Styela clava: one gene and its partner. The protein of the gene in region 1 interacts with the protein of each later gene in a pairwise test. Links are inferred from orthologs where the notes say so. Each region holds a gene or a part of one and is shown in the gene's direction. Other genes may lie near its edges.

Region 1 (7,533 bases):
TCTACATGATAAAATAAAGTTAGATAGTTGCTGATCGTAAAGAGCAGTGGCGATCGCGCACAAGGGGCGTAGACAATTTTTTAGATTGCGTTTAGCTAATTAAAAATATAAATATTTGTTATATTGATCTCGCCTGCCTTATTTTAGATATTTACTTTCCTTTTACGTATTTTCAACATGTATTTTTGAATAAAGTATACTTTCGTTTAACTATCCGTTATTTATACAGCAAGTTATTTTTGAGGTGGGGCGCGAAACTTGACAAATTCTAAAAAGGTTCGCGGCTTAAACGTTAGCGGCTTAGACGTTCCAGGCAATCTGTCTGCTTGCCTTTTGTTAACTATATATATACCTGGTAATATGTTTTATGTATTTGCCTGTGAAACATCTGCCAATCACATGTGATGTTATTTGACATCAAAGTATCTTGCAAAGTTATGCCGATTCGGCGATACGAGAGAAACAGACCAGGCAAGGACAGCAGTTAACGGATGTACAACAGCGTGTTTTTATCACTTTTATTTCACCATTTCTTCTTCACCATACTATATTGCCATGCGGTTGGGCATAAATGTAAATAAATTAACAGTTACCTTATTAATCCTTGATCGCCTCTCTTCAACTAAACTTCCATGAGTCTTCGAGTCAGGAATTTGGAAACAATCATCGCTTTAATACTATGTTAATACTATGTTCCCAAAATTTTACCTATCAAAAACGAAACGAACTAGTTTCTGATCGGTTGAAAATAAACCTTCTTTCCGAGAAAGTAATAAATAAAGATAGAAAATTTATTCACAAAACAGAGTAATTCCAAAAGCCTTTAAATAACCCAACTCAACCCAAAATAGCACAGACAGAAAAGAAGAAAAAAAAGAGAGAGAAGGTAGGAAATATAGTGGGCAACCCGCAACTATCCCATTCGAGAATTCCCAATAGAACCTTCTGATTAAATATTGCTTTATATCGGAGTCCAGATTCTAGAAGTCTAATATAAAGTCGTCGACGGGACTATCGGATAAGTTCGCAGATAGAAGACCATTCATAGCAGCAACACAACTTTTACGTTACAGAATCAACAATTGTAGCTTAAACCTAGGTTTATCTGCATTAGTATAACTGAAAGATATGGAAAAAGAGAACGCTACTTTGGCCCACGTAAATTCTTAAAATGACAAAAAAATGTTTGGATATAAACAACAAAAGAAGTGACAAGAGAAGTAATTTAAAAAAAAAATTGGGCAAATAATATCACCTGTACTATATCCGGAACATCCCAACACAACCGCATCTCTGTTGAGTTTTTAATTCATCAATTATGTAGAATGTAGATCTCATTTATGAAATGGTCCAAACATCATTGCACAGGCATATCTTCCCAGGGGTCTTTGATTCAACCCAAGTATACTCTCAATTCAATCTAGTGCTATATTATGGCCTTGTTATAACTGTAATCCATAATTTAATGAATATTTATTTAACCGTAGCTTTTGTTCCGCTCAAGCAGTTTCAGATGTCAACATTCGCAGCATGTTTACGTTCAGTCAGTTTGTATAAACACTGAAATATGTAACATGGTTAAGATGCACTATATAGGTTGAATAAAAGCTAACATAAGCTAATAGTAAGATGAGGGCAATTCGTATATATGGAATATATCCAAAGTGTAAATTTGAATACGATTTCAGGTTTCTTACTTGTTCTAACTTGGGACATTTCATTGATCTCGATCGCCTCCATTTGTTTACGTCGTCGTCTTTGATTCAATAATTACACACTAGGTATCATTTAGTATTACGCTATGGGCTAACTAACTGAAAGAATGAAATTATCTCTAATAATCATTGCTGATTTAGATTATCTCACCAATTTCAGAACTTGTAATCTCAATTCCACTTTGTAGACATTTGGATCAATAACTGTAGGCCAAAGCTTAGTTTAATTGCATTAGTACAGCTATGAAAAATGGCTGAAGATACAAGCGTTGGATTATGAAAAAATTAGCGTATTATGAAAAAGTATGCACATAAACGATTGATCCTAAAAATTCACAAACATGAAATCAATGCTCACCTGACAGCGTCAACTTTGAAAAGACCGCCTGAGCGCAGAAAATTTTTGACGTGGCAAGAAAAAAGTGTGATTATAATAAAGAAACAAAGAGGGTGGAGGAGACCGCAAAATGATGATGCTTTTTCATTCGTTATCAGGAATCACCCCTTTTAACACTATATAGGGCACTCATCAGATCAATTTTGATGTATGGCATTGAAGCATACCATTTTACTTCGCCATATATTTTACAGAAGTTGCAAAAAATACAAAATACGTGTCTACGTATTTGCGGTGGCTCTATGAAGAGCACTCCAATAATATCACTTCAAGAGTCTTGTAACGAAATGCCGCTCCATATACAACATCTTAACTGTTGCCTTGCATACAAATGCTTGCTCCTTTCTCACAAGGATCATCCTAATGAATCACTCATTAAGCAGTCTTGGCATGAGTACTATCCAGACTCTGATTCTTTTGTAACCTTTAATATGCTCTCGACCTCTCGAATTTTTTCTAACATAGTTGTCAACAACACTAAATTTTTTCCCATTCCACCCTGGAATATGCCTCCGCCTGAAGTGGATACAGTTTTATCAACTATGTCTGTTACATACAACAATCCTACTGTTTTTGTGTTACAATGTTTGGAGTATATTGAAATGGAATATCCAGGTTACCTGGAGATCTATACTGACGGTTCAAAATCTGAAACTCGCTGTGGTTCTGCTTTTTTTATTCCAGAATACGAATTTTCGAATAAATTCCGCCTCGATCCATTATCTACTTCCTACTGTACGGAATTATATGCCATATATCGAAGTTTGATATGGATATCGCAAAATAGGCCTTCAAAAGTATTAATATTGTGCGATTGTCTTTCTGCCTTGGAAAGCATTCAGGATATTTGGAATGTTAAACATTTTTTATCAACAAAAATACAACTACTTTATACTATTATTTGTCACACGACCGATATCAAGTTTCTGTGGATACCAGCACATATTGGTATTAGCGGTAATGAGGCAGTGGATCGACTGGCGAAAGACGGAGCAAATAAAATTGTCATTAATGCTGTTCTTCAACGGTCTTTAAAAGAAGCTAAGACATTGTGCAAGCAAGCATGTCTTGCGAAATGGAATTTAACATATCAAGCAAACGATACTGCAAGCCATTACAAAAACTTTCGACCTCACATAGCCCATTAAATGATTAAGAAGAAATAATATTTTTTCGTCTTCAAACTGGACATATCAGACTTAACTATCATTTATTTAAAATAGGGCTACATCCCACAGGGCAATGTAGTCGATGTGACACAAATGAAACTGTTTCCCATTTTATTTTATATTGTCCCAAGTATAATAATTTACGATGCGAATTAAGACGTGAAGCAGCAAAAATGAATGTACCCTGGGAAATTATTAGTATTTTCAATGTTCCTAATTTGATTCCAATAATTATTAAATTTGCTATATCCACCAAACGAGAGTTGTAAACATGTTTTTATTGTATCATTCTGACTACTCCTTTTGAAATTTGGCGTAAAAGACCGAGTTGTCAAAGACGCCATTAAACCCTTTACCTTACCTTACATGTCTAGGCGACGTAAGAAAATAGCGAAACAACACTGAATAGAGCGCGAAGCGCGCAGTAGAGCGCAGAAGAACGCGAAACAGCGCAGAAGAGAGGGAAAGAGCGCAGAAGAGATGAAAACACTTTTCTTTCATTATTTGTTAGCGTCCGTGAAATTTTAAACAATTTGATGGGAAACAGTATACAGTGGTAGGGAATGATCACGAGTACCGGTATATATCCGTAATCTTCATCATCTTTAAATTGAATTCGCCATCTAGAAATACGGTCGCCACCGCAATTCTGATCACCCTGGTAGTTTCACAGATTCCAATACCATGCGGGGATAGTTATGTGCGATAGGGTTGCAGCTCTCCTCTCACTGAGGGTGGTTCACACGACGGCTGGTCGGTTACGTTACAACATCCCCCACTATCAAGTACATGCATCTGAAACAAATACCTGACTAACTAATCCCATACGGTATAGACTGGACAAGAGGCAATAGTTTACTATATGATTGAGTCGTATTATCGACCTTCCTCCTCCACCGGGATGGTATGGAAATTCAATCCTATCCCAGAAATGTACACTTGGCGCCGCAAGATGAAGCGCGCGAATATTCTAAGGGAATTCCCCAATGCGAGAAATCGGCTTGGTTATCTATCACAGGTTTCGCTCTGCAGATTAGTTCAAAAAAATAAAATAAAATTCACTAGTGTCTTGAGGTTGCTGGATTAAATGTCATCTCAGTAAATAATAGCTTATGCTATTGGTAAATATTGGTAAAACAGTAAAAGGTCAGCTGTTAAGGGACCTCGCGACGTGAGTGTTCGACAATCTCTCCCACATAACTGGTGTATTATTACAGTATTAATACGAGTACGAGTTTAAGATGTGCATATCTTGAGTCTATGAGTATTGTATGTTTAGATACCGGTAGTAGCCTAGTTATTGCTATAATAAAATATGGCCGATGATCTGAATATCAGTGATATATTGGCTCCTAATCAAAGTGATGCTGAGGAAGAACAATTGACAGCCGCAGAAGTATTAAAAAAGTTGGAACAGGTAAATTGGTAAAGGTCATACTGTCATATAAACATTTCTATTAACGCATGTTTAATCAGTTGCTACAAAATGTAAATTACAAATGACATCTCATATTCAAACGACTGTAAGATAATTTTTTAGTTTTTTGCATTTTCAATTTTTTGCAGGCATGGCAGAATGAAAAACTTGCACCGGATTTATTGGAATGTAAATCTGAAATTGTTGAATGCGTGATGGAACTTGTTGCGGAAATGGAAGGAAATTTGAAACAAGCTAAGAAGGGGGATATAAAGGTATGCTGTTTTATCGACATGTCAATTCAGGAAATAATATATTGATGTATTCAGAATTCAGAAGTAAATATGTGCATTTGATAAAGTCAGATGTATTTTTTTTTAATTTTTTTTTTTAAATTATTATTTCAATATACACAAGGGAATTTTATTATAGGATTGTAGACAGATAATTTTTGGATGACATTGGCTTATTGTGCATTAGGGTTTTGAATGAATTTGAATCAACTTCATTACAACAGTAGTTAACCCTTTCCATGCGATTTTTATTTTTTATTAAATAATCGTATTTGCTACGCCGACTTTATGCATTTGTACCCCAACAACTAATCGATCGACTAACGAAAAAGTATTGATCCTCTGCTGCTCACTGACGGCTCGTTGGAAAGCTTATTTAAAGAGCTTGCAATTGGCGATTAAAATTTTTTTTAAAAGGGGTGGTCTGAGTCACAAACCAGATAGAAAAAAGGCATTTTTTTCTTGGGTGTTGAAACTTCAAACCGTGATAAAAAATAGAAATATTCGCTAAATCCTCTACTGTTACCGCTTCTTGGTTGGCAAACAATAGCATAATATTGCTGTAGCAATTTCGTTATCTAACTCAAAATACTTTGGTAGATGGAAGGGATAATATGTCTTCTATTACACCCAAACACCCAAATTTGCATAAATTTCAAAAACACTCCCTCGTTCCGCCGCAAATAAAATTTCCATGGTAAACGAAAGCGAGATTTACCGTCGCCTATGTTAATCTCGAAGACTTATCAATAAACTAAAATCCGGAAAAACTAGACCAACAGTTTGCGACCGATTGCTAAATAAAACAGTGGAGTACATCAACGTACCCGCCGCAATCTAGCGAGTTTTGTCATGGGTACGTATACGTGCCCACCGCACGGAAAGGGTTAATGAATGTTTGTAATATGTTAATGGGCCTATTTCTTTCATTTGTCATTTATTATTGTTAATATTTTAGGTTAGTATTCACAGAATGGAACTGGATCGTATACGTTATGTTCTGAGTAGTTATCTGAGGTGTAGACTCAAGAAGATTGAGATACATGGACCAGTATTTCTTGAAAGAGAAAAAACAAGATCTGAAGATGAACCATCCAGATTATCTCCAGAAGAATTTGCTTTTGCAAAAGAGTGAGTCGTTTAATTCTGAATTATAAATCACTGTTGACCTGATTTTAAGTTGGGATCGTGGAGTCCTTGATATCCATTTTCCATCAATTTTATTTTACCTATGCTCGGGGGTAAGACAGAGTGCTTCATTGGTAAATCTCCACTTGACGAGGTAATGCCATTTCGTGTTATTATAAGCATCTTTATTTTTATGAATGTTTGTCATACATGAATTACGTGTGTATATTCCACACCATTTAGTATAAAAGAGCTGAGGAACCTGGCAAGGTATTGAGCATTGCATTTTTTTTTGAAACATTCCTTCCTCACTACACTTAAGAACTCTGCTATTGTATGTTGTTGGATCATTAGCAAATGATATGCGTAACTTGCAATCTGGATTTTTCAATATTTTGAATGATTGTATGACTAGATATTCCAAAAATGCTAAAAAAGTCATCAATTTCAAAGTAAAATTTCTTTCCAAAAACAATCAAATTTATCTCCAGGTTGGATAAATTGTCGACCTAGTGTGTCAATCCACGTTTTTTGGACTCATTAAACTTCTCTACTTGACTGTACCCGAGTTACTTCAATTGGACATTAAAGTTTATTATGTCCTCCAACCCAATTATATATATACGTAAGGTGTATTGTTGATGTTGCTACCTGCAGCTTTTGTTTTGTTCAGGCTTTCTGCAAATATAGAAACGCATATGAAAACAGTTGCGCTCAATCATATGCCAAGAGTAATGCAGAATGTAGAGCTTTCAACAACAGGTGAGAACACTGTTTGTAGCTACATTTTTGTCGCAGTTCAATTGTGATAGCCAGAAAATTTTAACCAAGTGTGTGTGTGGATATTGTGTAAGAGAGATTTACAATTTCTGTGGTCAATGAGTGGTTTTTAACTTGTGTTATGAGGGTATGACCATACCTGACAGTATATCTCATTACTGGACACATTGTGTATGGGACGATGATTCTAGTTGGTATATTTTTTCAATGGGACTCACAAGCTATTGTTCGATTTGGTAGCTTGTCTGGGAATATGTAGTAGAATGAATTATATATACAATTTTTACAGCCTAATTAACGATTCTTCATCTTCCAAATTTAGTAACACCAAATTTAACCATATAAGCATTTATGGAGTGAAAAGTGAAATTTTACATGCTAACATTTTCTCTGTGGCAGAATAAAATGTACTTGTGCATAGTCTGCTACAGAGCTTGAGGTGTACAAATACCCTTATTAAAAAATTTCTATTTCGTTACAGTTCACGCACCAAACCTCGACCATTATGTATTCCTAAAAGCGATTCGAAAAGAAGATGGTGTTATTGTAGAGGAAGACGCAGATGATCAGACATCAGATAGAGTAGATTTAGATGAAGGATCACAATTTTTAATCAGATATAAACCTATTGCTG
Region 2 (7,255 bases), on another chromosome or scaffold:
GTGTTGTTTTTTCAATTTCTCTCTGATATCGGATTCCTCAATGTGCTGTTCTAACCGCAATGTGGGAGGAACAGAAGCGTTTTCATCTTGATCTTTTTCTGCAGCCTTGGCATCATTATTTGATTCTGCCACACTTGTTCCAGTATTGTCTGATGAGTTATGCTCTACAAAATAATATAAATTGCAAAAGTGGACTTTTTATAATTTTTTGGTGCCGACAATATTAACAATTTTATTATTAATAATTGTTGACAGTGCATATTTTTGGGAGCCTACATTATTAAAATAAATTCAATACAACATGGCAAAATAAGATGTTAGTGCTCTTTCAGCATCCTAGACATTATAATAGTAGATCAACTGAAGTGTTAAATAAATGCTATGAAGAAAATTGGCGATTCGTGAGAATCTCAATGATATGGTCTACTATTTTATCAATGTTAAATGCTTCATTTGTGGTTGAAAATAAAGAAAATAATGCCTGATTGTTTACAGTATGATTTTATTACAGCTCTTGCTGCAAAACGGAACATGAAAATTGTTTTAGTTAATCATGGTGTGGAAATTGTGTCTAGTAGATGCCTGTCTCGCACTTTATTGAATAATATTTTTCAAATCAGAGAGAGTTGTTTACATGGTTCTTCAATAGAGTCAAATGACAGGTAGGCCCAATAGGTTGATAAACACAATAAATCAACGCACCCTGGCGTCTAGAGTTCCCAGATCTCATTTCTTTACCAATCACGCTGTTCAATAAATTTCTTGCTGATGGAGGAGCAATATGTCTCGGTGGGTGATGTTTCTTCTCTGGACTGCTGGAACTTTGTACTGGAATGCCAGTTTTCTAAATAAATAATAAAACTTAGAAAACTGAATCAATTAACACAAGAATTAAGGAATATTTCCAATAAGGTTTACAAAAAAAAAAAAAAAATTTAAAGGTCTAAAGTAGACAGACAAATATGGTTTATTAGATATCCATATTCATATCTTCAGCCGTAATTTATAAGAATTATACTACCAGTGATTATCCCTGGGTTTTGGTCCACTAAAAATAAGATTGAAATGACAAGATAAACAATAAAATGGATGTCAATCTCAAAAGATATATATTATGTTCAAATAAATTTGCTCGCCTTTTCGAATCCTTTTAATACCGGAAAAGATTGATCAACTCAACACTAAATTGTTCAAATTAAATTTCTATTTATGGAAAAACTATTTATAAATAGAATCTTCTAATAAGTAGTATGTAATTCAGTTTATATTCAATATGAGCAAGAATTATATGAAAAAATCTCAAACACATAGATCATGGAGGTAAAGGGGTACACAGGTTTGTATCAGAGCCCCAAGTTGATTCTTACTAAGCACAATTTGGAGTGGTTCAAACAGAAAATAATTTTACCAAATTGCAAAATTACGATCTAGAACTATTTCCTCCTGGGATAAGAAAACCATATACTGGGAAGCATAATAGTTAAAAACAATGATATGTTTATCCCTTATTAAGTATATTTATATTCAAAATAATTACGGTACTTTATTTATAGTGAATGGATTATTTGTATCAAATTTTTCAAAAATCCAACCTATTTCATGAAGAAACAATTTTAGATACCAAATCAAATCACAATAAATTGTACGGCCATACGGACGTCATTAGCATGACAGAGACAGACAAGTGATAAGTCCATTCATAGTCAAGAACTAATCCTTCACTTCCAATGGTAATCCTCTTAGTAACACTAGATTTTCACCTACCCAATGTGAAGATTTTTTCCAATCTATAATGTAGTAGGCCTAATGGTTTCAGTGAGAGCTTTCTATGTGCAAACCTAGAAAATGGAAAATTAAAGTGCCATATTTGTGCAAAATACAAGCACATTTTCTCACCGGTCTAGCACTATGGTGAGGTTGACTGGTACGTCCTGCCTGTTTGCTTACAAATTGTTTCCTCATCATTTCCAATCTACTTCGTGGATGTCCATTTCCTGTGGTGTTTGATGTAAAATTGTTGTTTGCTGAGTCCGTAGTATCCATTATAGGAAGCAAGAGTAATTGGTAGAAATTTTTGAAATGTTAAAATTTATGTTACACCATCCTTCAAAAGTCTTTTAAGATTTATTAGGTCATTCTATCTACATACTTAATCACAGGCTGTAGATAGAAAATAAAAGTATAAAAAAAATTGAACTAATCCAGATTTTGATATTCTTTACTGAATATGAACTTTTGAACTCAGAATATAAGAGACATAAATGATATCAATATGACACCTCATATAGTATTCCAATTATGTTCAAGCAATAGTTGCCTTTTTCTGAATATGTTACTGTACGGCACAGTTCTCAAATTCCAAGAATATCCCCTACAGTAAAAGACATCAATTTTGACAGTGAGTGCGAAATCCTTCTTTAGGAGGCAGTCTGGGGTTTCATATTGGCACAAATCAGCAAACCGCAACATAAAATTGGATTCCTCTGATGAAATATTCTGATTTACAGAATGAAAATATTTTTACCAAAACTGAAAAGGCACGTCACAATTGATTTAAATTATCATCGAAACATGCATGGCGTGATCTGGTGCATCAGATGCACTCGCTTTCAAGACATATAGAGTATTTGTTTTCTTGAAATTGAAGAACTATTCCCTACTTTGCTTTGAATCATATATTTATTAACATATATTTAAAACTTTCCTAAATATTTCCAAAATCAATAATTTAATGTATCAAATATTACTTTAATGTATGAAATATTACAAAAAATTTCATTCGCGAGAGACAACTACGAATTCAAAAAGCACTACTCAACTGTACCAACTAAACTAGAAATTATAACTTAAAGTGAAATGAGTTCAAATAAATTAATTGGCTATTAATTGGCTACCTACATTATTAACATGCTCGCCTATCTAATTAACTTCCAAGAATCCAAGACACTCTACAAACTATAAGTGAGGTGTTTAAATGTTTTAATTAATGATTACTGCATAAATATACAGACAAGTGATACGGCAATACACAAAAGGGATAAAAGTGAATAATCTTGAAGACTATGTGAACAAAACCATGAAACAATATATCAGTAGAGCACAGTGCTCCTATTCCAAGATATCCCGACATTTGGTTCCATAAAACGAACACTGTATTTGTCTTTGAAACGATGGTGTTTGGTACGTCGCAAATTGCGTAGATGCTTCTCCTGATAATAATTTAAATCAATCGCGACGTGTGTCGGCCTTCATGTGACCAAATTTTGACAAAACCTATTGAATGCTGTGATAAAATTCTTTTTCTTCTGTAAATCAAATTATATTTTCCGAGGAATCCAAGAGTGTCATTTTTAAATGTTGCTTTCCTTGAGTTTATTGCGCAGTTGATTTGTAGCGATATGGTGTCCCAGACGTAAAGTAGTTTTCGCTATTATAATTGATGTCTCATATTGTGAGGGCTATTCTTGGAAATCGAAGAACTGTGCCATACTGTATATAGATATCATAAACCGTAGCAGTAGACTACCGTAGTATAGAAATATCACAAACTGACAAACAAAATAAACTAAGAGCTATATATCCAGATATCTGTATGTTAACTAACCCACAGCTACATTTAGACATGGGTCATACGTTCTTGATTTGTGATTGGTATGGTACGGTACTGTACCTGTAATGCTTGCTCAATTTAACAATAATCTCTCTAATCATAATACTGTTTTTTTAATTGGCTCACTCAATGAGTGATTTTAATGAATATGCAAAAAATAAATAAATGTACAAAATAAAATAAGTCCATACTCCATTTTGAGTTCATAATCCATTTGTTGAAAATGAGAAAATAAATAATAATTCTAATGATATAATACAATAAAAAAGAAAAAAAAAAAAACTTAGCAAATGTATTATAGTCTACAATGTATTGTACATCTAATTGCTTCACATAAATTCTGCAATTTAATATCAGGTGTTTTATTTTCAAATACTGAATCCAATAACTGAATAATACTGCATAATCCAAATTTTATATCGAACTATTGATAACAAAAGAATAATTGCAATAAAATCTACACTACTTATATAACTAATACTGTTATTGTCCTTTTCTCCAATCTCAATGTAAATTCGAGGGAAACCGTAAGGGACGCCCCCCCCCCCCTAAAAAAGCTGGCAGAGCGACAGGCAAACATCATCTGAGTGTGGCGAGAGCTGAATGGCCATGTTGTTGGGTTTTTTTCACCGAGCTTTGTTGTTTTCACAACAAAAATGTTGTTCTGTGCTGCTATCTGGCGGCGAAAAAAGTAAAATTTGTTTATTGTCAGTATGGATTGGAATGGATGAAAACAGTTCATACCTCAATGGTTGCGACGCGGGATTTTCAGGATATTTTACGAGTGGTTAGGGACAAACCTGTGCCGGTATCTCAGTATGTATGTATGGATGTTTATTCGTCTCGTAAAAGCAATATAAAAGAGTAAGTACTTATAAATACTGAAGACGGGATGTATGCACAAGACCATATTGGCCTAAAACACAGATGTGCGGCATACACCCCTTTGATTTATATAAATTATAATAGGGTAAATCAAATATGTACAATATGGTCCTTTATACAGGCAGTTGTGCGAGGAGGGTGGGTGGATGCGGTAACAGGGATATGGGTGGAGTGTACAAAACTGTTTGTACAAAGGAGTTTGTTAGACAAAACAACATCTATAAATAGTATCTGTCTGTCTTGGCCAGGGCGGGAGCAGGAATCAGGAAGGAGAGAAGTTTTACTTTGCAAACTATGGTACAATTTGATTTCACGAACTCTAACGTGTGATAAATACCGGTACAGAAATATAAAACAGTGGCATTGAAATCCTGTAAATTGTACCATTGGTCAAAAATCCTATACCTGTAGGCTATACGGAGATACCGTAAAATTTGATTTGATTGAGATCTGCCGAAATAGTTTACCGTACCGGTACTGGAGGATGCAGATATGCCTAGTTAAAAATCTTTTCATAAACTGCTGCATTGATCTGCTTACAGCTGTACAAAAAGCAGTTTCTACTTGAGGGCCTGGCCCCTGCAACGTCACACTGAAGAGAGAGATTTTTTAGTCATAATAATAAATCAAAAAAGAGCAGAAAACTATAAGCAAAATAATCCGAAGTACACTATACAGCTATATAGAGAATTTTACTAAACAGATACCAATATCAGATTAATAATTAATAGCATACCCATTAATTTAATAAAATTTTGAGGTCACCACAAGTATGAATTACTGACTCAATTTTATCCGAATATGAAATTGTGGCGTTGCTGTTTCTCTTGTTTTTCATTTACATCAAATGAAAAGTAAGTTTACTGTAACCCAACCAATATCATTATACATTAGTACCACAAACAGGTAATAACTACTCATGAGAACAATTTGCAATTAAAAACTATAATGTGATCAAAAGTGATCATCTCAAAAGCTGCAAATAGTATTTTTTAATAGCATACTGTGACGATGGATTGAGACAGCAGAATCATATAGCCAGCCACAGTTTCGCCTCTGTCTTTTTCATCTCTTGGAGTAGCAATCTATTTCATATATAATGGGGATGTAGGTAGCTGTAACTTATGTATGTGAATCACCTTATGAGTTATGCCACACACAATCATCTGCCAAAATCATCGAAAGTTTTATCCCCCATTATTTCGATTAAGTTTTATAATTGCATCTATTCTAATTATGTTTAGAATATTCTGATCAATTATCATTGTTAATTCTCCCCAATCTCTCATCTAAAATCAGCCATTCCCGGATGATTAACTCTCTTGATTATTGTAATTCAACAGCATCTTAATCATGGATCATGTGGATATTGAATTTCTTGCTGAAAGAGAACATGTATCAATCATTCCCAAGTTCAATTCTGACAAAATGTTTTTGATATCGGGTGAAGTTGGACCATTTAATGTCGGTGTTCCTACAGAAGTTCCAATTTGGTTGGCAATTAATTTGAAACAGAGAAATGAATGTCAGATTCAACGCCCTACTTGGATGGAACTTGCCACATTGGAAACAATGAAGGAAGATGAAAGCAATAGCGAACTCTTTACTCCTCTACCTAGTCCTTACTTCCAGGAAATTTCCCATATTTTACTAAATCAAGCAACTGATAATATACCCCACGCTGATGGTATAAGGACTATTATTAAAGACATTTTGGATATAAGAGTTGCTAAGTTAAGAAGCAGCATAGATAAATTTGTAAAACTGAAAGCTACTTATGCCAAGCTGGATAATTTGTCACAGATGGAAATAAATACAGTTAGGGCTTTTCTAACAACTGCACTAGATCATATGCGTAACCTTGACAAGACTGAGAAATTGACAGAACAGTATGCTTCTGTGAACTAATATAAGTTTCTCGACAGCCTTCTTGACATTTCTAGTCAACAGTGGATGGAGTTGGACAGAGAGTCTGGAATACGGAAAAATGGGCATTCACCCTCCTGGATAACATAAAAATTCATCTCATCTTTATGGGATGCATGTGCCTATGTCAGGGATCAATATATCGTTTTATGTTCTGCCAACGTTAACAATGACATACACATTTTCATGCAGAATTTTTGTATTGAACAGTATTACAAAAGATTGTCACAATGCACAATTTTTAAAACTGAAATAAAACACATGAAGCACCAACCAAATTCGCATACAGAGAGACTAGGGTCTTTAGATTCGAATTGATTAGTCTAATAATGGTTATGGTTTTGCATATAGTAATTCGATAAAAGGTGGAACTAGCCTTGTTGCATAAATGTGTTTTGGCCTCATGATTGAGGAGCAAGGAAACGACTAGTTTGGATAACTGAAAAAGAGGTTTTGGCTACTGCTAGACTTGTTATTATCAGCCTTATTTAACTTTTCAGCTCTTACAGTGATTACCAAAACATCATGATCGTGTACCAAGCTTTTCATGCGATACTAAAATGATAACAAAATTTACAGAAATCAGACAGCAGAAGATAAAAAATAAAATTCTCACACTCATGATAAACTATTGTGGCATGCAGTGCACGAGTAAAAGAAAATCTAAACTAAAACTTAAAACATATTTACTACATTTATGATAAATAATATGAAACTTGCTGCAGAGGCTTCATGAATAAAAAATAAACCAATTATTTCTATATAAACTTCGTCGTCAAGAAATAGAACACCAAGACTGTCGACCACAGACTCCATCAGAAGGGAGAGTTGTTT

What was found. The genes of interacting proteins can lie anywhere in the genome.
Region 2: the proteins of DNA replication complex GINS protein SLD5-like (region 1) and DNA replication complex GINS protein PSF2-like interact in a two-hybrid assay, tested with the Drosophila melanogaster proteins (2 studies listed by BioGRID). The link is inferred for Styela clava from reciprocal best matches to the Drosophila melanogaster genes Sld5 and Psf2.

What each region holds. Positions count from the first base shown.
Region 1 is NC_135258.1:9,240,223-9,247,755, reverse strand, and holds the start of DNA replication complex GINS protein SLD5-like, read left to right. Parts: upstream 1-4,504; 5' UTR 4,505-4,596; coding exon 4,597-4,698; intron 4,699-4,847; coding exon 4,848-4,973; intron 4,974-5,949; coding exon 5,950-6,122; intron 6,123-6,792; coding exon 6,793-6,881; intron 6,882-7,380; coding exon 7,381-7,533.
Region 2 is NC_135252.1:9,323,374-9,330,628, reverse strand, and holds DNA replication complex GINS protein PSF2-like, read left to right. Parts: upstream 1-4,332; 5' UTR 4,333-4,337; coding exon 4,338-4,474; intron 4,475-4,514; exon of another isoform or gene 4,515-4,792; intron 4,793-5,202; exon of another isoform or gene 5,203-5,296; coding exon of another isoform or gene 5,297-5,349; intron 5,350-5,838; coding exon 5,839-6,403; 3' UTR 6,404-6,699; downstream 6,700-7,255. Other genes in the region: mitogen-activated protein kinase kinase kinase 1-like, read right to left, coding at 1-164, 703-844, 1,897-2,043; guanylate kinase-like, read right to left, coding at 7,197-7,255. UniProt on the Drosophila melanogaster protein: The GINS complex plays an essential role in the initiation of DNA replication.